7 linked regions of the Callithrix jacchus genome follow. The protein of the gene in region 4 purifies or fractionates together with the protein of the main gene of each other region. This does not show direct contact. Links are inferred from orthologs where the notes say so. Each region holds a gene or a part of one and is shown on either strand. Other genes may lie near its edges. The genes, in order: CDK4, NUDCD3, USP49, FKBP5, MAP3K7, PTGES3 and MCMBP.

The links.
Region 1: the proteins of FKBP5 (region 4) and CDK4 purify together in Homo sapiens (affinity purification with mass spectrometry; 3 studies listed by BioGRID and IntAct, counting the BioPlex papers as one, with this or other methods). This does not show direct contact. The link is inferred for Callithrix jacchus from reciprocal best matches to the Homo sapiens genes FKBP5 and CDK4.
Region 2: the proteins of FKBP5 (region 4) and NUDCD3 purify together in Homo sapiens (affinity purification with mass spectrometry; 3 studies listed by BioGRID and IntAct, with this or other methods). This does not show direct contact. The link is inferred for Callithrix jacchus from reciprocal best matches to the Homo sapiens genes FKBP5 and NUDCD3.
Region 3: the proteins of FKBP5 (region 4) and USP49 purify together in Homo sapiens (affinity purification with western blotting; 4 studies listed by BioGRID and IntAct, with this or other methods). This does not show direct contact. The link is inferred for Callithrix jacchus from reciprocal best matches to the Homo sapiens genes FKBP5 and USP49.
Region 5: the proteins of FKBP5 (region 4) and MAP3K7 purify together in Homo sapiens (affinity purification with mass spectrometry; 4 studies listed by BioGRID and IntAct, with this or other methods). This does not show direct contact. The link is inferred for Callithrix jacchus from reciprocal best matches to the Homo sapiens genes FKBP5 and MAP3K7.
Region 6: the proteins of FKBP5 (region 4) and PTGES3 purify together in Homo sapiens (affinity purification with mass spectrometry; 4 studies listed by BioGRID and IntAct, with this or other methods). This does not show direct contact. The link is inferred for Callithrix jacchus from reciprocal best matches to the Homo sapiens genes FKBP5 and PTGES3.
Region 7: the proteins of FKBP5 (region 4) and MCMBP purify together in Homo sapiens (affinity purification with mass spectrometry; 3 studies listed by BioGRID and IntAct, with this or other methods). This does not show direct contact. The link is inferred for Callithrix jacchus from reciprocal best matches to the Homo sapiens genes FKBP5 and MCMBP.

The regions. Positions count from the first base shown.
Region 1 is NC_133510.1:61,953,418-61,957,523, forward strand, and holds the start of CDK4 (cyclin-dependent kinase 4), read left to right. Parts: upstream 1-1,306; 5' UTR 1,307-1,430; intron 1,431-1,837; 5' UTR 1,838-1,856; coding exon 1,857-2,071; intron 2,072-2,227; coding exon 2,228-2,363; intron 2,364-2,480; coding exon 2,481-2,648; intron 2,649-2,805; coding exon 2,806-2,915; intron 2,916-4,081; coding exon 4,082-4,106.
Region 2 is NC_133512.1:12,467,159-12,470,658, forward strand, and holds part of NUDCD3 (nudC domain-containing protein 3), read right to left. Parts: intron 1,784-3,500; coding exon 1,673-1,783; 3' UTR 1-1,672.
Region 3 is NC_133505.1:50,309,474-50,312,973, reverse strand, and holds part of USP49 (ubiquitin carboxyl-terminal hydrolase 49), read left to right. Parts: intron 1-3,054; 5' UTR 3,055-3,082; coding exon 3,083-3,500. UniProt on the Homo sapiens protein: Deubiquitinase that plays a role in several cellular processes including transcriptional regulation, cell cycle progression or innate immunity.
Region 4 is NC_133505.1:43,874,946-43,878,445, forward strand, and holds part of FKBP5 (peptidyl-prolyl cis-trans isomerase FKBP5), read right to left. Parts: intron 3,276-3,500; coding exon 3,036-3,275; intron 2,000-3,035; coding exon 1,892-1,999; 3' UTR 1-1,891. UniProt on the Homo sapiens protein: Immunophilin protein with PPIase and co-chaperone activities. Component of unligated steroid receptors heterocomplexes through interaction with heat-shock protein 90 (HSP90).
Region 5 is NC_133505.1:96,667,375-96,671,504, forward strand, and holds the start of MAP3K7 (mitogen-activated protein kinase kinase kinase 7), read right to left. Parts: upstream 2,801-4,130; 5' UTR 2,592-2,800; coding exon 2,472-2,591; intron 1-2,471. UniProt on the Homo sapiens protein: Serine/threonine kinase which acts as an essential component of the MAP kinase signal transduction pathway. Plays an important role in the cascades of cellular responses evoked by changes in the environment.
Region 6 is NC_133510.1:62,968,771-62,972,925, reverse strand, and holds the start of PTGES3 (prostaglandin E synthase 3), read right to left. Parts: upstream 2,801-4,155; 5' UTR 2,506-2,800; coding exon of another isoform or gene 2,504-2,505; 5' UTR 1,775-2,503; coding exon 1,761-1,774; intron 1-1,760. UniProt on the Homo sapiens protein: Cytosolic prostaglandin synthase that catalyzes the oxidoreduction of prostaglandin endoperoxide H2 (PGH2) to prostaglandin E2 (PGE2).
Region 7 is NC_133513.1:112,985,467-112,988,966, reverse strand, and holds part of MCMBP (mini-chromosome maintenance complex-binding protein), read right to left. Parts: intron 1,943-3,500; coding exon 1,854-1,942; intron 1,444-1,853; coding exon 1,317-1,443; 3' UTR 1-1,316. UniProt on the Homo sapiens protein: Associated component of the MCM complex that acts as a regulator of DNA replication.

The sequences.
Region 1 (4,106 bases), on a different chromosome or scaffold from region 4:
CCCCTAAAGGGCTGGGAGATAAAGAACCTGGAGCCAATAAAACAAAAAAGGTAGGAGAAATCTACCTCTGTCAACCTAGGTGTCTGTGGGCAGAGGCCATTTGGGAAAAATGGTGCTAAGTGCTGGTTCTGGATGGTGCTAAGTGCTAAGAAAGCTGCACTAGGGAAAAAGGGAAGCACAGTGACTCCAAATGAACAGTCACAAGCTTGCAGAAAAGCACGTCATTCCCATTTACTGTGGTTGTCTGGAGGGTGCAGGGGGTGTGGTGGTAACTTCTTGCACATGCGCCTGTCTACGACATGTAATAAGTAATATAACATACATACATATATATATACCTAGAAGTATATATATACACACATATATCTTAATCTCACATAATCATAGAATCTTCCTACTGAAAAAACAAAAACAAAAAACATAAAGGTCAAGTATTCCTGTCTCCTGCTCATCAATAACTTCTCTGCCAGATGGCCTCAAGTCTTTGCATTAACACTTCCAGGAAGGTTTGGAAGTTGGGAACTAGAGGGCATTACTTTGCCACTGTTCCTGTTGTCTTACTGTATTAATCTGCCTTCTGTCCATCCCCTAATTGAAGTTTTGCCCTCCAGTGGGCATTGTCTACTACCTATTTTATAAGACCCCATTGTTGGCTACATCTTTATAGATAGTCGTACCACTACTTTAAAGAGCCAGTGACAGACACCAAAAACAAAACAAAATAAAAACCCACATACACACTGGCAACAAGCACTCAGTACAATTTTGTAGAATGAATGAGTGAAACAATGGCACAAATGAGAGTATGTTTTCTCACGGTGAAGCAAAAAGGTGATAGTACCACCTCTGGTCCCCCAACTCCCACCCTCTCCCCAATGTAGTCAGGCTGAAAGACCAGTGAAACAATCTTTCAGCCCGGAGTTGGGCTCTGGGTGGCCTGGGTTGCCATGGCACCGCCTTGGGCTCCACCCTCTCTTGCCCCCTACCGCGCCCCCCCACCCGCAGCGGGGTTGTGGCAGCTAGTCACGTGCCCTTCGCGTAACCACACCTCTGCTCCTCCGAGCAATGTCAAGCGGTCACGTGTGATAGCAACAGATCACATGGCTGTATCTCCCCTCCGCCCCTCTTACGCTCTTAGCTCTCCTCCCCGTCAAAGCGGCTCCTGGCCGCCCCCACAGCGCTTGGCTGGCGGTCACGTGCCCAGAACGTCCGGCGTTCGCCCCGCCCTCCCAGTTTCCGCGCGCCTCTTTGGCATCTGGTCACATGGTGAGGGTGGGGGTGAGGGGGCCTCTCTAGCCTGCGGCCTGTGTCTATGGTCGGGCCCTCTGCGTCCAGCTGCCCGGGACAGAGCCCGGGTGTATGGGGCCGCAGGAACCGGCTCCGGGGCCCCGATAACGGGCCGCCCCCGCAGCACCCCGGCCTGGCGTGAGGTAAGTGCAGCCCCATCCCAGCTTTCCACGCGTGCGTTTCGAGAGCTGGTTATGAAAGGGTCGTTCAAGGGCGGGAAATGGGGCCTTTGTGGTCGTGGGAAGGTATAATTTTAGGGACTGAGGTGTAAGATCTTCGATGCAAGGCGTGTGTCATGTGTGATCTTTGTACGGGGCGCGATTGTCCCAAAAGAAAAGGCATTTTTTATTGTAGGGCCTCACGTGGCTGCAGGGGTTGGTATTGAGTCATTGTGTTATCTCCGGGGCCGGCCCAAGGAAGATTGGGAGCGGGGGATGGGATGCTGGTGTTGTTCTTTGTGCTTTTTCTTGGGAGTCCCTTTGTTGCTGCAGGCTCATACCATCCTAACTCTGTAAGGGACTTTTAGTGATAGGAGTCTTTGTGATTGTAGGGTCTCCCTTGATCTGAGAATGGCTACCTCTCGATATGAGCCAGTGGCTGAAATTGGTGTCGGTGCCTATGGGACAGTGTACAAGGCCCGTGATCCCCACAGTGGCCACTTTGTGGCCCTCAAGAGTGTGAGAGTCCCCAATGGAGGAGCTGGAGGAGGCCTTCCCGTCAGCACAGTTCGTGAAGTGGCCTTACTGAGGCGACTGGAGGCTTTTGAGCATCCCAACGTTGTCCGGTGAGAAGGCGGTGGAGGGTTGGGAGTGGGCAGTAAAGGGAAAAGACAGTCTATAGGTGGGGTGTGGTGATCTGGTGAGAAGTGGGGACCCAGAGGAAATAATGAGAGGTCATGTGGGTTAAAGGGGATTGACAAGTGAGCATTTACTCTGGCCAGGCTGATGGATGTCTGTGCCACATCGCGAACTGACCGAGAGATCAAGGTAACCCTGGTGTTTGAGCATGTAGACCAAGATCTAAGGACATATCTGGACAAGGCACCCCCACCAGGCTTGCCTGCAGAGACCATCAAGGTGAGTGGGGTTGGTAGGCATTGAGAGGTGAATTGGGACCTTTGTAGTAGAACCTCCTGGGATTTCAGGGATGGTGCCTAGTTTCCAGTGCATCTGTTCCTCCCCCTTCTGAACTAGGATCTGATGCGCCAGTTTCTAAGAGGCCTAGATTTTCTTCATGCCAATTGCATCGTTCACCGAGATCTGAAGCCAGAGAACATTCTGGTGACAAGTGGTGGAACAGTCAAGCTGGCTGACTTTGGCCTGGCCAGAATCTACAGCTACCAGATGGCACTTACACCTGTGGTCAGTAGAAAGATGGTACCAATATGGGTTCTGGTTGGGAGTAGGAGAGTGGTGGCCCATAACAATTGAGAAGTCATGTGCTTCATGTGTTCAGTTAAGTCAGTTGTATTTCATGGTAACGCATGGGATCCCCATCCATTTTTCCTATCCCCTTTAGGTGGTTACACTCTGGTACCGAGCTCCCGAAGTTCTTCTGCAGTCCACATATGCAACACCTGTGGACATGTGGAGTGTTGGCTGTATCTTTGCTGAGATGTTTCGTCGAAAGTATGGGACCCACATACCCTGGACCACCTTGAATTCCCCAAATCTCTTGTTCATAAACCACATCCAAACCTCCCTTCCATTCTTCTTCTTTTTTTTTTTTTTTTTTGTTGGAGACAGGGTCTTCTCTGTTGTCCAGGCTAGATTGCAATGACATGATCACAGTTCACTGAAGCTTCAACCTCCTGGGCTCAAGTGATCCTCCCATCTCAGCCTCCCGAGTAGCTCACACTATAGGCGCACACCTCCATGCCTGGCTATTTTTTAATATTTTTGTAGAGATGGGGTCTCAGTATATTGCCCAGGCTGGTCTTGAACTCTTACACTCAAGCAGTCCTCCCAACTCTACCTCTCAAAGTGCTGGAATTACAAGCATGACCTACTGCACCTGGCCCCATTCGTTTACTTGAGTTCTACTGACTACCTTGGCCATAACGGGAAGCACTAAAATGTTCTGGAATTGGGAACTTCATATCCCTTTATTCTCCTTTATTTATTTATTTATTTGAGACAAGGTCTCACTCTATCACCCAGGCTGGAGTGCAGTGGCACAATTACAGCTCACTGTACCCTCTACCTCTTGGGCTCAAGCAGTCCTCCTGTCTCAGCCTCCTGAGTAGCTGGGACTACTACAGGCGCACGCCACCATGAATGGCTTTTTTTTTTTTTTTTCAAGACAGAGTGTGGCTCTGTTGCTAGGCTGGAGTGCAGTGGTGCGATCTTGGCTCACGGCAACCTCTACCTCCCGGGTTCAAGCAATTCTTCTGCCTCAGCCTCCCGAGGAGCTGGGACTACAGGTGTACACCACCGTGCCAAGCTAATTTTTATATTTTTAGTAGAGACGGGGTTTCACCATGTAGGCCAGGATGGTCTCCATCTCTTGGCCTCATGATCTGCCCACCTCTGCCTCCCAAAGTGCTGGGATTACAGGCGTGAGCCACCGCACCTGACATTTTTTTTTTTTTTTTTTTTTAAGAGACAAGGTCTTGCTTGTCCAGGCTTATCTAGAACTCCTGGGCTCAAAGAGTTGTCTCACCTTAGCATCCCAAAGTGCTGGAATTACTGGTCTTTATTTGCTATACTTTTTATTTTGGGCTACTAAGTAGTAACAGCCATTCGACTATGATACTTTAAAAATGACAGCTACCTTATGTCTCTTCTTACCTTAGGCCTCTCTTCTGTGGAAACTCTGAA
Region 2 (3,500 bases), on a different chromosome or scaffold from region 4:
TGACAAGAGTTCTGCTCCCCAGGGTCAAGAGCTCTTAAGCAGGGCTTCACCAGTTCAGTGGCAAATATCAGACAAGGCTCTCACATTCCAAAGCGGGTACATGGGGTCTTCTGTTCTCCCATGATGATCAGAGCAACAGTCTGGACCTACAGAAGACTTTCCAGGAATGCTTTCTCACAAGGGCTGTCAGCCACCACTGTAAATCAGAAACCAACCACCAACTTACTCTCCTAGACAGCCCCCGCAACCCAAGTATACACAGAGAGAGCATGCAGGGGCAGGGTCCTTCCCCTGATGGTAGGCTCTCTTAGCATCTGCGGGCCTTGATTCTTGCTGGCTGTGCATGGTGCCAGGGTGCACTGCCCTGCTGTGTGGCTTATCCATGCCCCGAGCTTGATGGACAGGCAAATGGACAGTGCCAGTGGCAGCTGAACCATACTCCCAGTGACAGGCACCCAGAGCCCCTGTGAGTACTCAGGGCATAGGCCTGGGGCCCTGTCCCATGATCTTGTCTTTGCATCTTGGCTGGAGTCAGTCAGCAGCCATGGGCCTGGGCTTGGAGGTCCTTGGAGGTCGACCACCTTGGAGGTGGTGGCCAGTCCCTGGAGAACAGGTAAGATGGGGCCATAAGCTCCAGGGAGCGCAGTCTGGCACCTGGCACAGAGGATGGGGGCCTTCACTGTCTTCTGGTTCAGTTGTGGTGGGACAGTATGCCTTCATGCCCCATGCAGAAATTCCTCTTCTCCCAGAAGCCCCTCAAGGTCAAGGCTTGTCAGGACTTGTGGCTGGCGTGCTCTGCTGATGAGCTGATGAACATGCTGTAGTCTCCTCCTGAGGGCGCTAGCTCTCCACTCCTGCCCACGCTTTGACACCGTGAACCCAAAGAGGACATCTTACAGGGAGCCAAGCAGGGCATGCCATGCCGTGGTGGCCAGGCTTGGTTCACTTCAACAAGAACCAAAGCATGGTCGCCACAGAGAACAGACAGAATCCCCATTGCATGTGGACCTGAGCCCAGAACCTAGGCTGTCTCCCAACATCTAGAATGTGCAAACAGGGCTCCAGCTTCCACTGCTCTGACCATGACGCTGAGGCAGGCAGAGCACATTTATAAGGGGATAAGCAAGAAGACCACATCAGTGCTCCCGAAAGAGGTCAAGGGGCAAGGAGCTTCCCAAAGCAGCCCCAGGCACAGTTGCACAGTCATTCCTTGCTTGCCCTCATGCAAGCACTGAGCTTCACACACTTCAATGACTTCAGCTTCGCCTGAGAGCCCAGCAACAACTCTACACCCCAACCAGAACACATGCAAGCAGAACAGCGTCAAAACAACAGCAAGCAGAGAGCAGGGGAAAGACATGCTGCCTGCAGTGGCTGGTTGCTGTGGAGACAGAAGCACATGATCCCAATTTGTTGGGATATCCTCTCTTGCATTTCAAACACCTTCACTCAGTGTCAGCCACAGCGGCCACCACACAGCAGCTGTCACTGCACCTTCTCTGGAACAGTCTGGAGATGCAAGGTCAGGGTGGAAGGCCTGGTTCACCATTGAAAGGATGGCTAGGGGTAAACAAGACGAACAAGTCCCTAGAACACAGGGGGAGCCGAGGAGGGCGGCTGAGGACAAGGCCTCTGCCTCCCCACCGGTGAGGGTTTCCTTTCCTTCTGGTCATTAAAACTGCACAGCCCCTGGGGAGATGTTGAACATGGCAGGGTCAAATCGCTGGCCTCGGAAGGGAGAACCTTCAGCATCCCACCCCTTCTTCAGCATCTCATGGACTTTCTACAAACAGAAAATAAAGAGATTAAACAAGATCACAAGGCACTGTGCACTTTCTCCCAGAGCAGACTCTGACTGCAGGCAAAGAGCCTTCCTGCTTCCTCAGGGCTCAGGCACTCACCTGGCAAAACTGACTGGCCAGAGAACCGTACTGCCCTGGAGCAGCCTTCGACCAAGGGAGGCACTGTGTGACTAACAACTTCTCTGCAAGACTGTGCTCCACAGACTGAGTTTCTAACCCCCCATCTTCTGTCCCCAGCAAAGCTCTGGCTGCTCTTCATGGTTCATCTTGTCCCTTTTCAATCTGTTTGGAATCAACAAATTCCAAACAGCCTGCAACGTCTATGGTCCCACTAGGCACTGACTATGACATGAAGAGGAAGTGTCCCAGCCCCACTGGGGTCATAGAGAAGGTGCGTAAAATGTTCAAGCCCCATCTGATGAAGGTGTGCAGAGAGGATACCCTAGCACCCCAGTTATCAACATCAAGAACTAGATCATCAGACAATCCAGGGTTGACCCAGGATGTGGCATGGAGGAAGAGACTTCGGAATGTCCAGTGGTAGACCCCCCCAGTCAGGAATTCCCCACTGCATCCTTGCAGATGCAGTCAGAGTTGGTTAACTAAGCTGTTGCCAACATCTGGCTATTCTGGAACTATCAAGCCTCCGAGGGTCAGAAGCAAGCCTGAGTGTGTGGCCATGGCAAGGGACATTAGGAATATTGGATCCTGAGGGAAGCATCGGTACCTGAGCTAGCAGGCCCTCTCTCCTCATAGGGACTCCGTATCTGCCCTCCTCATGTGGCCACCATGAGTATACTGAGGGCTGGGGATGATCTCTCCTTCCTTCTGACATTCTGACCAGGGACAAAAGAGACTGTGCAGGGCCAGTAGTTACTCTACCAATATGATCCATGGTCCCTGTTGCAGAAAACCCTGTAGCCTAGGCCCAGAAGATGAGGCTGTGGGGCTCTCAACGCCAGGGCTTCTCCTTACATAAAACACAGTCTTCCTGACAAGAGAGTTTTCTCTTTGCTGTTTTAATTTTTAGAGATGGGGTCTCACTGTTTCCTAGGCTAGAGTGCAGTGGTGTGGTCACAGCTCAGTGCAGCCTCAAACTCCTTGGCTTAAGCGATTCTCCCACCTCAGCCTCCTGAGTACTTAAGACTACGGGTGCAGTCCACCATACTTGGCTTCTTTTTCTTTTTTTAAAATCGAAGTGATGCAGCAACAAGCATATCAAAGATGTGTACTATATACTACAGATTAATTGACATTACTATCAATTTCTTGTGGGCAATTCACATCAGAGACTTTAGAAAGACCATTTTGAGAACAAGGTCCTGCAGCACACATGGAGTGGCTAGGGGTACAGAGAAGACTACATGAAGCCCCCTCCTCTGCCCACTGGAGGTATGAGGCTGGACAGCCTCAACCAAACACAAGAACGGATGACTTCAGCAGGCAGCTGCACAAAGCCTCTGAACCTTTCAAAAGAATCCTGGCCAGCTGTAGGGCAAATGACAGCTGTAGAACCCTGCAGCCACCACACTCGTACCCTGGGAACTGGGTGGCTGAATGGGGGCCCGATGTAGGATGCCCAGAGTGCAAAGGGCAGATTAGTAGACTTGATCTTACAACAGAAGGAGCACAGGGTGTCAAGATCAGCACTCAGACCTTTCCTGAGACAAAAGTGGACTGCAGGCATTCCTGTGTGTC
Region 3 (3,500 bases), about 6.4 Mb from region 4:
TAGCAATAAGAAAATCATGATCTGGCTTGAGAGTAGTGTAGATCGCATCCCTTTGTATGATTTGAGGATTTCTTATATAAAGACATGCCTCTGCCATCTGGAACAGGCAATAAAAAAGGGAAGATTCTCTAATTCTGTCCTGCAGTATATTTATTTATTTATGGGTTTTGGCATACATAAATAGGACTAGGCCAAACAAGGCATCTGGAAAATTAAAGGGGCTACTCAGAGTACACTGGATTTAGAACTTTTCTGGGTTGACCTCTTAATCATGAAACTGCATTTGCTCTCAGAAATCAAAAGTAGAGAATAAATGGAGGTGAAAGAAATTTACTTTGAAAGAGGATTGAGAATTCACTTTAGGGAATTTAATTATTTATTTATTTATTATTATTATTTTTGAGACGGAGTTTTGCTCTTGTCACCCAGGCTGTAGTGCAGTGGCGCAGTCTCGGCTCACTGCAACCTCCGCCTCCCAGGTTCAAGCGATTCTCCTGCCTCAGCCTCCCGAGTAGCTGGGATTACACGCATGTGCCACCATGCCTGGCTAATTTTTTGTATTTTTAGAAGAGATGGTGTTTCTCCATGTTGGTCAGTCTGGTCTTGAACTCCCAACCTCAGGTGATCTGCCCTCCTTGGCCTCCCAAAGTACTGGGGTTACAGGCATAAGCCACCGCGCCCAGCCTTATTTATTTATTTCTTTATTTTTATTTTTGAGACAGAGTCTCACGCTGTCCCTGAGGCTGGAGTGCAATGGTGCGATCTCAGTTTACTGCACTCTCTGCCTCCTGGGTTCTAGCGATTTTCCTGCCTCAGCCTCCCAAGTAGCTGGGACTACTGGTGCCTGCTACCATGTCCGGCTAATTTTTGTTTATTTTTATTTTTTTAGTAGAGACGGGGTTTCACCATGTTGGTCAGGCTGGTCTCAAACTCCTGACCTCAGATGATTCACCCACCTTGGACTCCCAAAGTCCTGGGATTACAGGTGTGAGCCACCATGCCTAGTCTTTTTTTTTTTTTTTTTTTTTACTTTTAAGAGATGAGGCCAGGTGTGGTGGCTCACACCTGTAATCCTAACACTTTGGGAGGCCAAGGCAGGAGAATCACTTGTACCCCTAAGTTCCAGACCAGCCTGTGCAACATAGACCCCATTTTTTTTTTTTTTTTTTTTTGAGACAGAGTCTTGCTCTTGTCGCCCAGGCTAGAGTGCAGTGGCACGATCTTGGCTCACTGTACCCTCCACCTCCCGATTTCAAGCAATTTTCCTCCCTCAGCCTCCCGAGTAGCTGGAATTACAGGTGCCTGCCACCACACCTAGCTAATTTTTGCATTTTTTAGTAGAGATGCGGTTTTGCCATGTTGGCCAGGCTGGTCTGGAACTCCTGACCTCATGATCTGCCTGCATTGGCCTCTCAAAGTGCTAGGATTACAGGCGTGAGCCACTGCGCCCAGCCTCATAGACCCTATCTCTACAAAAAATAAAATTAGCTGGGCATGGTGGCATGCACCTATGGTCTCAGCTACTCTAGAGGCTGAGGTAGGAGGATAACTTGAGCCCAGGAGGTGGAGGCTGCAGTGAGAGAAGATCACACCACTGCACTCCAGCCTGGGTGACAGAGTGAGACCCTGTCTCACAATATGTAAATATATAAGTAAATAGATAGATAGAAAGAGGTCTGTGTTGGCCAGGCTGGTCTTGAACTCCTGGCCTCAAGCTCCCACCTTAGCCTCCCAAAGTGTGCAAGCCACTGTGCCTAGCCTAGGGAATTTAAAGTTCTGGTATTGAGGGGAAAACGCCTTCAAAGTTTCAAAGACATAAAAGTTTTCTTTTAAAATAGTTGTATAGCTTCTTTCCCTTGGAGAAATTGCCCACAAGGCTTCTCTGATGAACAATACTGAAGAAGCATTGTTGGGAATAGAAAAAAATAAACATGATTAGGATGTTACCACTGTTTTAAAAAGCATTTTCATACATATATATATATCTGGAAGATTCGTTGTTTTTTTTTTGTTGTTGTTGTTGTTATTTCGGTGGTTTGGTTAACTATTATAATACCAGTAGCCACTTTATCTCTTGTCCTAAGTCAGATTTGTCCAATTCTTTACTTACCTATCCTTTCAGTAAAGAAGGTAAGTTTTCCTACCCTTACTGCAAGATGCAGATGTTCTTTTCAAAAAGACAGATGTTGGCTGGGTGCAGTGGCTCATGCCTGTAATCCCAGCACTTTGGGAGCCTGAGGCGGGAGGATCACTTGAGGCTAGCTCAAGACCAGCTTGGGCAACACAGACCTGTCTCTAAAAAACAGGCCAAGCCTGGTGGCTCATGCCTGTAATCTCAGCACTTTGGGAGGCTGAGGTGGGTGGGTGGATCATTTGAGGTCAGGAGTTTGAGACCAGCCTGGCCAACATGGTTAAACCTCGTCCCTACTAAAAATACAAAAAAATTAGCCAGGCGTGGTGACACGCACCTGTAATATCAGTTTCCTGGGAGGCTGAGGCAGGAAAATCGCTTGAAGCCGGGAAGCAGAGGTTGCAATGAGGTGAAATTCCGCCACTGCACTCCAACCTGGGCAATAAGAGTGAGACTCCCTCTCAAAACAAAATAAAAAAACCCACATAGACAATGTTCCTTAGCAACGTCTCATAAAAATGATACTTTGTACTGTTGAGGACTTTCGTATTTTTACCTTATATCCTGATACCTCTGCTTTGCATTATATTGCATCCAACCTAATATTGACTTTTTATTTGAGGCTCTTCGTCTCTCTCACTGGAATGTGAAACACCATAAAGTTTCAAATTTGTGCTAACCCTTCCGTATGATACTTCTTTTTAAGTAATTTAACTGTCCTGTAATTCTCCGCCTTTATACCAAATGTGCCTTTTTTTTTTTTTTTAACTTTCAAAGGAACCAATTTGGAATTGAAAATGAATGAATCTAGAGTTGAAATACCAATTGCAAGCCTTTTTGTCTTTTTTTTTTTTTTTTTTTTAAGGAAAATGTTTTTTCTGAAAGTGTTTTCTTTTTCTTTTTTGGGGACTCTGTCATGCCAGGTTGAGAGAGTGGCGACTTCTGTAAGACATGGATAGATGCAAACATGTAGGGCGGTTACGGCTCGCCCAGGACCACTCCATCCTGAACCCTCAGAAGTGGTGCTGCTTAGAGTGTGCCACCACCGAGTCCGTGTGGGCCTGCCTCAAGTGCTCGCACGTGGCCTGTGGCCGCTACATTGAGGACCACGCCCTAAAACACTTTGAGGAGACTGGACACCCGCTAGCCATGGAAGTCTGGGATCTCTATGTGTTCTGTTACCTGTGCAAGGACTACGTGCTCAATGATAACCCGGAGGGGGACCTGAAGCTGCTGAGAAGCTCCCTCCTGGCGGTCCGGGGCCAGAAGCAGGACCTGCCGGTGAGACGCGGGCGGACGCTGCGGTCCACGGCTTCGGGCGAGGACGTGGTCCCGCCGCAGCGCGCTCCTCAGGGACAGCCGCAGATGC
Region 4 (3,500 bases):
GCATCATGTGAGTCTTGGAATAGCTTTCTTGTTATCTGCAAAAAGTCAGGTAGCCTTTTTAGTATCAAATTTCCATCTTGGCTTTACTGGAACCATACTCTACAGAGCTTTCCAAACAGTTCAGCAAGGAAGCAAAATCAACTTTTGCTCTTCCTATTTCCTAGGTGAGACTGGGGCTTTTAAAGGAAATATTTCATAAAAAAGACAAAAGCATAAATGAGAAATTAGAGGGATTTTAGTTATTAAAGGAAAAAACAAACTGGTTCCATGGAGAAGAAAACTATTATAAAAGGGAAATAATTTGATTTTTAGGTTTTAAGAGGGCCCTAGTCAAATACAAGTCTTTTGATAAAACCACCATAAAACTAAAATATAACTGCCAGTGTTTTTTAGGATTTAAAAAAGTGAGATGTTCCAGGTTTAAGTGAATGGTTCCCTGGGTTGCCAAATGCATTCCCGTGTTTCTTAGGCTGAGGGAATAGAGAGCCATGCTCAGTCTGTTTACCCGTAAGGACTAAAATTCAACTACATGTACACATTTATTTTAAGACTTGCCCTAGTTCAATGCTTAGCTCAAGTACTGGAGATTTAGGCTACTGGCTGTACCTGCATGAAGCTATCTTCAACTCTTTCACAACTCTCGCCAGAACAGAGAAGCTTGCTAGGGCAGGAAAAGCGAGCAGCTGTGTCAAACCTGCAGGTGAAACCCCTAATGCAGAAAAGCAACTACTTACTTGTCAAGTCTACAGATTTTGTGTTTAAAAATTAAGCTTAGTATTAAAAAGTCAAAATTTTTTTGCATGAATGATAGAGGAGTGTAAATAAAGTTCCATAAGCCAGGATACATATGCTTATGAGCCAGTAATTTTAAAAAGACAAAAAAAGCTGCATGGATCCTAAATGGTTATGTAAATAGATCCACTCCAGGTCAAATATACTGTAAGAACAAGCCTTAAATTCTTCATATCAAGGATTAGAATGAAACAAGAAGCTAAACAGTAGCAGTGCTGGCAGGAAGTACTGTGTATTGAGTATTATTTCATAAAAGGAATAGAGAAAGGGAGAAAAAGCACAATTCTGATTACTCTTTTCACATTTCAGTATCTCAGAATTTCATCCAAAATAGGAAAAACTAATCCAGAAACTCCTGTCTGCTCATTATCAATGGTGAAGGGTGTTTTAGGAATGACAGGATTACTCCCCCAGGGACAGGCTGTGTGCGGTAGAAACCCACTCTCAGTAGGAGGCTGGCTGAAGAGGGGGACTTTGGGAGGTGGCTAAGTCAGCAAGCAAGTGGCCTCTGAGGTTCTGGCTTTCACGTCTGTGACACTGCTGTGGAACTGGGGAGACACGAGACCCCTCTACTGTGGGTTCTGTTGTTTAAAAATGCAACAGACTGCATTTTCAGCACTTCAGTCATTTAAAAAACAAAACCTCATCCTCCTTCCCCTACCCCACCCACCTGTGGGAAAGGAGAAATTCAAGAAGTGTTTTTTTTTTTTTAAAGGTTTCTGCAGTGCTATGAAAGGTCAAAGGTAAAGACTAACAGCCCCACGTGGTTAGGATGTTCTTGAGGGACCCTGAATTGGATACTGAAGGCTGATAGAAACTGAAATGAGCTGGACTGAAGCTGCTGCCTCCCTCCCTCCACACCACAGTCATTTCTGTTTTGTTCCACCTGGAGTGGTCCCATGCCACCCTTCAGTGAACCCTCCGGGCAGCAGCAGGGGGCTGTTTTTGGGAAGCTACTGGTTTTGTTTTGCCATTTGCTTCCAGAATCACATAGACTATAACAAACTTGACATTAAACACTGTTCAGTCCTGAGTTGGGGGAAAGCCCATTGAGGAGGGGGGCCGAGTTCATTAGGACTCTTTCCTTCTTGGCGTAGCGTCATACGTGGCCTTCAGGTTTCTCTTCTTCCACTGCATGACTGACTGTTAATTTTTCATTAGTGACCCCTTCTGAAGTCTTCTTGCTCATTGCTTTATTGGCCTCTTCCTAAGGAAGAAATAAGCAATCAAGAAGGTTAGAGGAAAAAGAAGTGAAGTAATTCCTGGCTCCTCCAGACTGTTTATCAGGTCCCAAACATTAGAGTATTGCAGTGATTTTCTCTCTGTTATCTAGGTGGATAGGTCAGGGCTGTGCTACAGTAGTTAGAGTGGGAGCTTCACCTTTCTTTGGTGTAAATAACCAGCCTGACCCATAGGACAGCTGTGGGATAATGAAGTCTGGGCATTCATGGAGACTGAGATGAGACCAGAGTACCAACTATGCTGTAGGACATATGTCTCTCTAGACAGACCTCTCCTGTCACATTTGCCAGGCTGGCTGCTGACTCTCAAGATAATGGGTATGATTGTGGGGCTCCTGTAACACCCCATTTCCTGAGAAAGTCAGAAGTCTTAATGAGGAAGTATTACCTGAAAAAAAAAATCCTGATGGTTTACAATTTTTCAAAAATGACAAAAGGGTTGGGCATGGTGGCTCATATCTATGTTCCCAGCACTTTGGGAGACCAAGGCAGGAGGATCCTTTGAAGCCAGGGGTTTGAGGCCAGCCTGGGCAACAAAGTGAAACCCTATCTTTACAAAAAATAAAAAAAAATTAGCTGAGTGTGGTGGTGTGTGCTTGTAGTCCCAACTACTCAGGAGGCTGAGGTGGGAGGATCACTTGAACCAGGGAAGTTGAGGCTGCAGTGAGCCATGATAGCACCACTGCACTCCAGTCTGGGTGGGAAAAATGTTGGTGCAAAACTGTTTTTGCCATTGAAAGTAATGGCAATTACTTCTGAATCAATCTAATACAGCTGAAGGGAATTTAGTTCTCTCTCCTTTCACAACGTCTGCCTTGGGTGAGTGGAACTGCTGAACTGCCCTACTCAACCTTTGGATCCAAAGCAGCCTCGGCCTCAGATGAGATTGGAAATCGTTTTCCCTACTCTTGAGCCTCTTGGGTTAACTGTTCCTGTCCCTTAAAATCAAAGGGGCACAGTCAGGCTCTTGATCCACCTGCAGTCAGTGGGCTCTACACACACCTTGGCATCCTGCTCTGCAAACTTCTTGAACATGTTGGCGTATATCCTGCGGTCCCGCTCGTTGTGCTCCTTGGCCTTTTTCTGGCACACGATGATCTGCAGTCTTGCAGCCTTGTTCTGGGGGTTTACTTCCAACACTTTCTCAAAGTCACCTTTGGCTGACTCAAACTCGTTCATGAGCAGCTGGGCTTCACCTCTTCTATACAAGCCTTTCTCATTGGCACTGTCCAGTCCAAGGGCCTAGGAACAGACAGCATATATTTCAGAAAGGATGAATTTTGAAATTCAGTAAACAGTTTACCAAAGCTCTCTTGCCAAAAGAGATGGAAATAGTGTATTTAAAAAATGGTGCTCAAGATAATTATATACTACTGATCAAAATTTACTACCCAAATTATTTTCTGCACGTAATGCAATTTCTAGGAAGATCTCAAGGGGATTTGAGAGGGGCTCTTGAGAAGTTCA
Region 5 (4,130 bases), about 53 Mb from region 4:
ACTACTGAGTTACAATATTAGAAATGCAAGATCAGCTGATGTCTTAGAAATATGTATCAATTAAAGGACTGCATATTCAGCCTGTGATTGAGTTTTTTTTTTAACTTTCTAGTTATATTGATATAATACAATTCAATTATATTGAGAAATACAAAATATGATTTTCTTAATTTAGAAGGTAATATTCTTATACAACATAAAATACTGAAAGCAACATAAAATAGTTTTTGTTTCTGACTATCTTCCTCTGTTATTTTACTCACAATTTTACTGGAAGTGTAATCTAAGTTGACAAAGAGCTAATAAGGGTCCATGGTTCACCCTGGATTGTATAACATTGCTTTAATATGTGCAAATGAAGATGATGGAAATTATGTAATGCTTTCAATATCAGAAATGTCTAAATTCAACCTTCTATGCAAAAATGAACAGAGTATTAAAAATGAAAAGGAATAAAACAAAAAACCCAAATAACTGACTACCATTAGAAAAAAATTTTCATCTATAAACAAAAACCTACTCCTTAGAAATGTCCTACATACACACACACCCCCACATACACACAAAGGTTGAAACATTATTTAAACTGAGAGAAGGGTCTTGGAAACACACAAACCTAACAAGAAGTGAAACAGCTTTAGGGAAAAGCATCAAAATGATAACTACCTCCTTAGAACTTGTTTTTCCGTGAATCAAGAATGCAAAAAGCCTTAAAAAGTAGCAAACAGAAACTAAGGTTTTAAGAACCAAATGAAATGTTTGTGAAAGCATTTAGTAGACCATAAAGCACAAGTTATTATTATATAACAATTTGTAGTCTACAAGCACAGCAAGCAATTCACCACAGAGCAGACGCAAACACTTATTTAAAAACTGCAATTCTTGTATACTGACTCACTGAATTTTTATTCTTAAAAAAGAATATTAGCCATGAAAGCTGGATCAACTATCCACTTCTGGAAAAGGAATTTATCATAGCCTTAACGCAAAAAAAAATACACTAAAAACATTTCTCCCTTTTTTCAGGTCTTCTTTTAGCTATTTGACCTTAAAGCAGGTCACATTTCCTCTCTGGAACTAGGTTTCCTAATATGTGTCAGGCCCTGTGGTAGGTGTTTTGCATATAATGTCTAAGACTATGATGTGTTATGCAGATAAAATCAAACAGAATTTATTATCTCTTTCTTACAGTAAACTAAAATTTAAAGGGGTTGGGAAACTTGCCCCAAATCACACAGCTAATAAATGGCGTATCTGATACACTGAACTTTCCTCTAACTCCAAACACCTTGCTCTTCCCATCATATTATCTTGTAAAATAAGGATGTTCTCAATGAATCTTTAAAGTTACTTTATGTGATAAAAATACATATAATCCAGTAATCCACTACTCTTCCAAAACATGCACAGGAAAAAAAATTTATTTGTTGAACGTTATCTTACTACTTTGAACTTGCTGATACTTAAAAATAATTTTATAATTTTAAAGTAGACACAACTTGTTGACAATCTATAATATTTCACTAGGTTTTTCATGGTATATAAAACGCAAAGTGCTTAAAAATTTTTTAAAAAGGCAAATAAAAGGTAAGAGCTGATATTTTAAACCGAAGTTTTTAACAAATTCTAGAGTGTCTTTAAAATATATATACGCAGTTTTTACTTTTCTAAATTTGATAGTCATTAGAACCCAATTACCTCTCTGTTAATTTGAAAAGAAGCAATGCTTTAAAGTCACATTGAAATAACAGGTTCTAAAATAAATTACTGCAGAATAAAGAGGATATGGGTTTTCTGATAGCGATTTCTAGTCTAATGTTAATATTCTGATTGTCACTGTAATCATTCGTTCTCTTCAGAGTATGCTACTTGAAACATATTTTGATCGTAGACCAGTCTATGTTACTTATGGTGAAATTTACCTACATTAACCCAACTGGAAGCCGAGCATTTAAATCGGAGAAATTGAGAACCATTCGGTGCCAAGGGAAACACTTTATTAGACTTGACGATCTATTAATTTAAGAAGCATTTATTGAGCATCCCCTACATGCCAGGCATTGAGGTAGAAGTCGAACATCATACAATCTTTGACCATTCAGAACATTACGGCCAGCGAACTGAAACTCCAGAACGGCTACGATCTTCGCTGAAACTACTACTTACAGATACGAGAACTGGTGGACCACAATATCTCACCAGTTCATTCTCCTGTTTATCACCGGGATATCAAATCCAAAATCAAGAGTGCCCAAGTGAGGGAAAAAAAGCTACTCCCGAACAGTTGAGCTCAGAGAGTAACTCCTACTCCCGCGTCACTGAGGGATGTGGGGTCTCCCGGGTGGACCCACTAGGGTCCAGCGAATTAGAGGGGTCGGGGAGACACCTTCAAAGCCAGGACCTCTGGGGCACAGGCAGAGGAGGGGTCGGGGCGGGCCGGGACCGGCGTCTACATGCCGGGCCTCGCTCACCTCTTCCACCTCGATTTCCTTGTAGTCTATCTCTTCAAAGTTGAGGACCTGAGAAGGGGCTTCGATCATCTCACCGGCCGAAGACGAGGAGGAGGAGGAGGCGGCTGAGGCTGTAGACATGATCCCTCGCGGCGCCCGGGTGGCCCGGGAACGGTGCCGCCCGGACAGTCCGGGTGAGACCCGCGCCCACCCGCCTCCGGACCGACCTTCAGCCTGGAGCCGCGCACTCCTACCACCCGTCGGTCCGTGGCGGGTGTAGGGGCAGCGGCCACAGCCGTGTCCCGGCTCTGGCTCCGCTGCGTTTTCCGCTGCCGGGCCCCGCCCACTATACTTCCGGTTCCGGGCTGAAATCGGAAACAGGAAGCGGGCCGTAAACTCTGGGGGAGGAGATGGGAGGGGAAATTTTTTTGACTTGGAAAGTAAAGGAGGGACACGTTGGGGGTGGGGTAGAGTAAGCTAAGAAGCAAGCTTGGACCTCTAGAACAAATTTCGCGAGACCTTTATTACAGGGCCTCAGCAACCGGATGATAACGCGAGAGCTGATGCCTAACGTAATTAAAGTGCGCGAGCGGAAGTGGCGCGGAACGTGACGGAAAATCAGTACGGTTGGTCCTTTAAGGACCAGCGGGAAAGATGAAAGATGGGGTTTCGTCTCTGCTGCGTGAAATATGTTTTGGCCTCACTGCGTCTCCTTTTAGCTGCCTGCAGACAGGCAAGATGGTATTGAAATGTGTTTTTGTGACGAAGCTTACCTTTAAGTTTCAGCCCTAAACTAAGTTGACCTGTTTCTTTAAGACAGCTTACGAAATGTATTTTCCTCAGTGTGGGATATGGAACGAAGCAGTTGCACCTGTTACTTTGAGCTCGTCCCTGACACTATGAGAGATTCTAAAAGAGCGAATCAGCTTATGCAACATGAATAACTGTGGAGGTTGAGTGCTCATGAACAGAAGTTAATATTTTGGTGTTACAACTTTATATGGAGGAGATGATTAAGAGACATAATTTGGCGTATTCATCTCAAGTTATGGATTACGAGTGCAGGGCACTGTTGCTTTAGATTGGTAAATGAATCATCAACAGTCGTCTTGAAAATCAAATTTTTACATCTCCATTTTCAGGACTTGAGAAAATAGGCTCAGACTTTAAAGCAATTATGGTCCTCTGAAACTAGATCAATCTTGTCCCCAAAATGGGCAGCATTGCCTATATTGTACTATCAGCACAAGTTTTAGTTTTAAACTAACTGTTGAACTCTATTTAGTCCGTTTGACATAAAGCCTAACCGTGGAAAATTGGAGTTAGAAATGAAAATGTAAAGACCAAGGATGGATTCACGCTAATGTCAAATTCTAAGTTTCAGTAAGAGACTGAAAGAGGGAAGTGAGGAAAATAGTAATTGGAATGTCACCAGAGGAAAGCTCTCCAATGAAGAAGTAGCCAACCAAGTATATGCTGTATAAAAAAGAATTATGTTAAACACAATTGGGATTGCAAATAGGTCATTGGATTTGACCATCAAGAAGTTACCAACTCCTGGGAAACATTGTGTCACTTTTTTTTTATCATAGTTCTAGTGACACGCAATGACAGTTTGATAAATGGATAAAAAAAGAAAGAATAATTTATTTTCACTGTACATACTCTCTTTGTATGATC
Region 6 (4,155 bases), on a different chromosome or scaffold from region 4:
TAACTTAGGATGTAAAGAAATGTAACTAGGAAATCGCTAAAGAGCAAATGAGTAAATCAACTGAGAAAACACTCTCCCAAGCCCTTAATGCACCCAGCATAATCTCTCTCCAGATCTTTAAAGAAAAAAAAAAGGTTTTATTAGCCAGGCATGGTGGTGCTTGCCTGCAGTCCTAGCTACTCAGGAGACTGAGGCAAGGAGGATTGCTTGAGCTCGGGAGGTGAAGTGGAGGTTGCTGTGAGCTGAGATCACGCCACTGCACTCTAGGCTGGGCGATAGAGAAAGACCCTGACTCAAAATAAATAAATAAATAAATAAACCCGCATCAGCCAGATTCTTCCTAGGACTGGATGACGACCCAGTAAAGGATTCTTCCACCTCAAACAACCGACTTACAACATTCATTTTGTAATTTCACTTAAATCTTTAACTTGGTAAGAGTCCCTGAAGAATATACCAAATGACACATACTGAATATTTTTAAAAGGATGAAATTAGCTGGTCTCTTTCAAAACATTCATCTTTTCCCTCAACACCCTGCATGTGGCATCGGATCACTTGTTTTGAAAGTAGCTTTTTTTTTTTTTTTTTAACCAGAGAGGCTACTTTTTGGAATAGCCTCTCTACTGCTACATTTTGAGACGGAGTCTCCCTCTATCGTCCAGGATGGAGTGCAATGGCTCAATAATCTTGGCTCACTGCAACCTCCACCTCCAGAGTTAAGGCGATTCTCCTGCCTGAGCCGCCAGACCAGCCGGGATTACAGGTGAGCACCACCATGCCCGACTAGTTTTTGTATTTTTAGTAGAGACGGGGTTTCACAGTATTGACGAGGCTGGTCTCGAACTCCTGATCCCACCGCCTGACCCTCCCAAAGTGCAGGACAGGTGTGAGCCACTGCACCCTGACTTACATTGACTTTTCTTTCAAGTTTTAAAATCTACTTAACTTAGCCATTTCTTACCTATTTAAATATCTTACGTGGCCTCCAGAAAGTGCTCCTACCTCAAGCCAATTTTAAACGTATTTTTCGCGAAAAGATACGTTCAGCTGTATTAAAAGTTGCTAACACCTCATCTGACAATTTTCCCCTTACAGGTTTTCAGAGTATAAAAGGTTAAGACTGAAGTCCCTTTTACATTACCTAGAAGGAAAAGCAAAAACTACTTTACATAGATTCGAATTTGTAAAAACCCCGTTTACGTACCACTTTCAGGGAGGGGGCTCCTCCAAAATTCTAATTTACGCCCTTACAGTAATACACGCTGTGCTCTAGAAGCTTGTTCTCAGCGACAAACTGGCTTCAGTGTACCCCTCACTCATCCCTTTAGACTTTTAGCCAATATATTCACTGTCAGTATCATGGCTTGAATTAAGTAAACCCTTGAATGTTTGTTACTTTTCCGCAGGAATAAAGTTACTCCCCTCATCTCTCCTAAATGGAGTGTGGGCGGGGGAACGCTCCCCTTCAATTGTTCTCAGTATCTTTTAAGACTTAGCTAATAACTTAAAAAATAACGTCCCGTCAAAAAAAAAAAACAAAACCAAACCCTGTAAAACCAGGAGCCCTCACTGGATGTGGCAGTGCCATGAATTCTTATTCGGTTAAAATCAATTAAGGCTTTCCTTTACCATAAAACGAAGATTGCTATAGAACTTGTATTCACCTACACACCATCAAATTTAAGCTTTTTAGGACAACAGTAAGTTAATTACATATCTACTTCATCCTACACTGAGGCAGGATAGTGAAACCTCACCTAAAGTTTAACATGGAACACTGAAAATGTCCGTAGGTATTCTTCCAAAGTCGACACGTGCCCAACTACCTGCTCAACGGTAACTCCTCACTGCCAGGGAAGCGGCTGAGCTCCGGCAACCTCCCGTGTTTTGAACAGACTGGGAGTTAGGAGGCGGCCTAGAAGTACCCACACTCAAGAAACCCAGACACAGGAGAGGGAAGTAAGTTGCGGCGTGGGCATGGCTTCCCTCCAGTTACCTAGCAGTACCATGCAGCTCACGGCGAGGTCCGCGTGGGGCTCTCCCAGGAGCTCCGCCAGGTACCTGGCGACACCCACTACAGGTGCGCTCGGCCCAGGGCCTGGCCCCGGGACCACGGAGCAGAACTGGAGCGCCCAGGCGGCCGAGAAGCGACCCGCGGGGGTTCACGCTTCAGGGCGCCGCATGGCGAGCAGCTACCAGGAGCTCAAGGCCTAGGGTGAAGTTACAGAAAGCGAGTCGGCCAGACGGCCAAAGGGGGAAAAGTAGCATTTCCGGCACGGGGAAGCGGAGATCTGGAGGAAAATGTCCTCCACTCGCCAACGGTAACCGGAACAAGGATACTAGATCTCCCGCCCCCAGGCAGGCACAACTGCCACCACCGATGCGAGAAAGACTGGGGGGGCCGAAAGTGGAGGGAGGGCCGCGGCCGCATTCCCGGAGCCCCCGACGCGGCCTTGGCCTCACTCCGGGCGACCTTCCCTCGGCGGGGTGTCGCACTCACATTGTGAACGGGGCAGGGGGACGGGCGAACGGGTGGGCGGGCCTCTCTGGCGGCGGCTGCTGCTAAGGAGTCGACTTCTCTCCGCTGGCGACTCCGCGTTTTCTCCCCGGTCGCGGCCTCTTCTCGCTTCCCTCAGGCGACGGCGACAGCGGCGGGCTCGACCTAGCTCCCCAGAATGCACCGCGCGGAAAGAGCGGCTCCTCCGGTCGGGGAGAAGAGGAAAGTGTAGGAAAACGGGCGCGAGGACGGAGAATGAACGTGCGTGCGTGCGAACGAGGGGTGGTGAGGCCGGGCGGCGGCTGGTGACGCAGCAAAATGCCCGGGCCTTGCCACCGCGCGTGCGCAGTCCTTGTTTTCGGGCTCCGGCGCGGCTTTCTAGAGATATCTACGGAAAGGGCGGGGCCTCCCAGCTCCTTCGCGATCCTTCCTGGCGCCGGCCCCGCCCTTCGTCCGCCACCCTACCCCCACCCCGGCCCCCGCTAGTCCTTACGCGTTCCCGCCTCTCCTCCCGCGGTGTCCTCTCGCGTTAGAAAACCGTTGGCCGCCCAACCGCCCGGCCACGCTCTTTGGGCGATTTCTCTGAGAAACCGCTGCGTTGGCAGCGGGAGGAAAGGCCGAGGCGGAGGGACGCGGAGTCGGGATCGTGGAGAATTGAAATGGAGCGTTGGTTACTCTTGAGGGAGTAAATCAGCTCACGCAGGAAACATTCCACCACAAAAACGTGAAAAGCCTGTGCTGTGGAAAAGGGCTCACTTCACCATTTTTCTGAAGGTTGGAGGCTCTGTCCAGGGACAGCGGACATTCGAGGTTCTTGGCGGAGGAGGAGCGTTTGCCATTCGGGGCTGGCTTTTGCCCCTGTCTTGAGACCTTAGTACTGTAGATGAGCCACGAAGGATATTTGAGGGGAGAGTCTAGGTTTCTGGAATGGAGAGGCTAAGACACTTTGTGTCTCCATGCACATTATTTGGGGAAGAAGGGATTCCCCGTCGCTTCCTACAACACACTACTAGGGTGTAGTAGGGCATAGTAACCGAGAGACCCAACACAGCCCTGCTCACCAAGAGGCTACTTAATGGTGGAGTAGGGGAGAAATACTCCAGTGCACTGCATTTTGAACAGGAAGGAGGTTTAAGGAAAGTGCTATATTTCTGAAGAATGAGGTTTCATAATAAGCATTAAGGTGCTTAGTGTCTGCTGTACAAGGCAGATTATTGGGGAGCTACGAAACGTGGATCCTAGCTCAGATACCGTTAAAGAGGGAAATTGGGCTGGTGCAGTGGCTCACGCCTATAATCCCAGCACTTTGCGAAGCCAAGGAGGGTGGTTCCCTAGGTCACGAGTTCGAGACCAGCCTGACCAACATAGTGAAACCCCATCTCTACAAAAATACTAATTAGCCAGGCATGGTGGCATGCGCTTGTAATGCCAAAAACTAGGGAGTATGAGGTGGGAGGATAGCTCGAACCCGGGAGGCGGAGGCTGCAGTGAGCACAGATCATGCCATTGTACTCCAACCTGGGCGACAGAGTGAAAGCCTGTCTCAAAACGAAGCTGGGCGCGGTGGATCACGCCTGTGATCCCAGCACTTTGGGAGGCCGAGGCGGGTGGATCACGAGGTCAAGAGATCGAGACCAGCCTGGTCAACAAGGTGA
Region 7 (3,500 bases), on a different chromosome or scaffold from region 4:
AGGTATAATGAATTCCTCAATTTTTCAAGGCTGACCCTGTTTCCTTGGTTACAATTTTAAGTTAGGCCTTACAGGAAAAAAATTTACTCGATCCTTTGTCCGTCTCCAACTAAGTAAGTTACTCACTAAAAGAAGTTAAGTCTTGATACCACTGACAGCTTAAAAGGTAACATCCTAACCTTTGGAAATTCTGGTTGTCATAACCATGATACTATATAGTTTGTTAGTTTGCACTATGAAAACTAACTGTTCTGGAGAAAACATACCTGCAGTTGTATGAGGCTGTTGCTGGAGCGGCAGATGTTAGCTGATTTAATGTACGTGGAACCAACTGAAAAACTCATATAAAATGCTAAAAATCCAAATACAATCAAAGCAACTAAATGACATTAGGAAAAAAACTTTCTAAAGGGGGTACTGTTTTTTAAGTTTGCTATTTTGTTTTCATATTTGGGCAAAACTTTGTGGCATAGCATTCCCTTATGCATGGTTCTAAAATGCACTGGGATAGAAGAAAATAAGGAAAATGGTGTATCTTGGTTTATTTTGCCCCCAAAAGCTACATTCATTCCATTTAAAGAACTATTATTCTGAGATTGACCTTTTACGAAAAAAAAAAAAAAGGTGACAATACAGTGATTTATTCAGATTACTTGGCAACGTAAATTGGCAACCCTACAGTCCCCCAAATTTTTGGAAATATTACTACTGGTCCATGAAATACAAAAGTCTGGGAACCACTGCCATATAAAAGTCTATTTTGCAGGCTCTTAACAAATGTTAAGTGGGAAAAAGTTTCTGTGGCCAAACGTCTGGGAAATGACAGTACAGAATTTCACGTAGTCATGTGAATCAGTGGAAGCACGCCTCCATCCCCAGCGTTGGGACTACTGAATGCACCCAACCCACTGCTAACTGGAAAACAAAAACCTGAAGCGCATAACTCATCGGACTTTGAAATTGCAACAACCTTCTTCATCTCAGCATTTCAACAGTCTGGCCTATGACTCCACTGAAGCTAAGGAAATGGTATAATCAGGAACATTATCAATATTAAACTTTTAATATCAAATACTTTTTTTTTACATCATTACTAATTTATATAATTATAAAACAAACTTCAAAAGCTCCATGAAATCAGTAAGGTAAAAGTCCTTACTGCGTATCATATAAACATCAGATGTTAACCAGGCTTAAGGAAACGTCATTGGTTTGTGATAGAAATTACCTATAAAACAATGTGGTATAAATGAATATCTGAACTTTACAATTATGTGGCTACAATTTGCCCATTGCTCTTCATAGGTATCAGATTTTTAAAGTTCATTTCCATTCACACATTTTTGCTGCTGAAGCCTCGTTCTTCTTAAAGACTCCAGCTGCTTTGCTCTCAGCCATCGTTCTCTTGACAGCGTTGTCTGACCAGCACTGAGAGATAGACACCTGGTTTGAAATACAAACAAATTTAAGTCTAGAACTGGGACAGTAAGTCTTACATTTTTTGAAGACCTAGGAATACTTTGTAAAATACAAACCACGTATGGGAGACAAGACCGTCTGGTAGTTACACACAAGTCAATAGCCAAGTTCGACTTCTACAAAGAAATCTTTGAAGAGTCAGAATTGGAGGGTGGCTCACTCTTTGAAGCTTAGAGAACAAGCAGCATGCCTGTTCCACTGAAGGGATCACCAGTCAACCTTGATTGCCCCTCAATGAGCCCTTTCATACAGCGTTTTTAAAAGGAAAAGTTCATTTTTGTTTTCAGAAGTCTGGCTCAGTTACTGCTGAATAACTGAGAAGATTTATATACACAAGCTCAGCGAAAAAGCAATGATGGACATGCACCACTTACCGAGCCACCACGAGCAGCTGGTGAAGATCATCAGCAGTGATGCTCTGAGGGTCGTTCTTCCGCATTTCCACAAAGTCATCTTCAACTGCCTTTATCAAAAGAGTAAATGTAAATGACATGCATTTTTGTAAGAAAGAGAAAATTAACATGGTTCCTTGACTGATGTGAAAATGAGGATGTCAACCCCTTAGACAAAGGAGACAATAGGGAATGTACCAAAGCATATACATAAATAATGCTGGTGAAAAATAATGAAACTCAAGATTCATTTAAGGTCAAGCAAACATATAAATCGGCAACTGGCATAGGAAACAATGCTTTTCAACAAAGGGAAAAGTGATGCTAGTGAAAATGGCAGAGAAAGGACTGCAGAAAACTGTCTCTACTTTAAGAACATCGATCAAAATCAACTTTTTTAAAACTCTGGAAATAAAACCACACTTGCAGCAATCCAGAGAGCATTTATGCAAGAAAACCAGGTGATTATCGGCAAGAATGTTGAGGCTTGTTGGCATTTTAACATGTCCTATTCCTATATTCTACCGTCTTCCCCTCCAGGTGATGTTAATAAGCTTCAAAAACCAACAGCCTGGCAGCCACTGGAAAAAGAACAGGGCTAGAGCTCTTTCAAAGTGCCATTTCCAAAGAACTGTCTTCTGACCACCTGTCTAGTGGCTCCCTGGAATAACCATTTACAAGGTTTTCTTCATGTAACCTGACTGGAAGCCTGTCTACTATGAACCACCTCTTTCCCCAGGGCATTTATCAAAAACAATCAGAAGAAATTGTCAATCACTTTAGCTACGTGACACACTGGATAACAGTTGTGGCAAACAGGCTAACCCAAACCCTTAAACGGAAAAGCTAGTTGGGAAATGAGATGTCTGCAGAGGGCTCTGAAAACCTCACATATGTAACTCCTAGGAACTTAGAAGGCTGCAGACATGCTCAGAGACCTTCAACTCCCACCTCTGGATAACCTGGAGGCTCTGTGCAAGCAGGAAATGAAGACTAAGGCAGGCTTGTAAATTGTAAAAGGCTAAGTGTTGAAGGCTTGACCCAGCTTTTACTTTTATTTATGATTATTATTCACCCTTAGACTGGGAGACCAACTGGGAGAAAGAAAATTTCTTGGCATTTAAGAAAATTTCTTTCCAATCATTAACCACAAAACTAACAGCAAAGACTTCAGTGCCCACATGTGACAAAGATACAAACGTTATAAATTAGTCAAAAAAGTTACTAAACAACCTACCAACAATAACAAATAGCAACAACAATAAATCCTAAGTAGGTTTAATTTCCAGAGTCTTGACTTCCAAAGCAGAGTTGCCATATTATATTATTTAAAATGTCTGGTTGTGGCTAGCGTGGTGGCTCACGCCTATGATCCCAGCACACTGGGAAGCCAAGGTGGGAGGACTACTTGAAGCCAGGAGTTGACCAGCCTGGGCAATAAAACAAGACCTCATCTCTACAAAAAAACAAAACAAAACTTTAGTTAGGCATGGTGGCGCACACCTGCAATCTCAGCTACTGAGGCAAGAGGATCACCTGAGCCCAGGAATTTACTGTGACTATGCTACTGTACTACTCCAGCCTGGGTGACAGAATGAGACCCCATCAACCAATCAAATAAAATGTCTG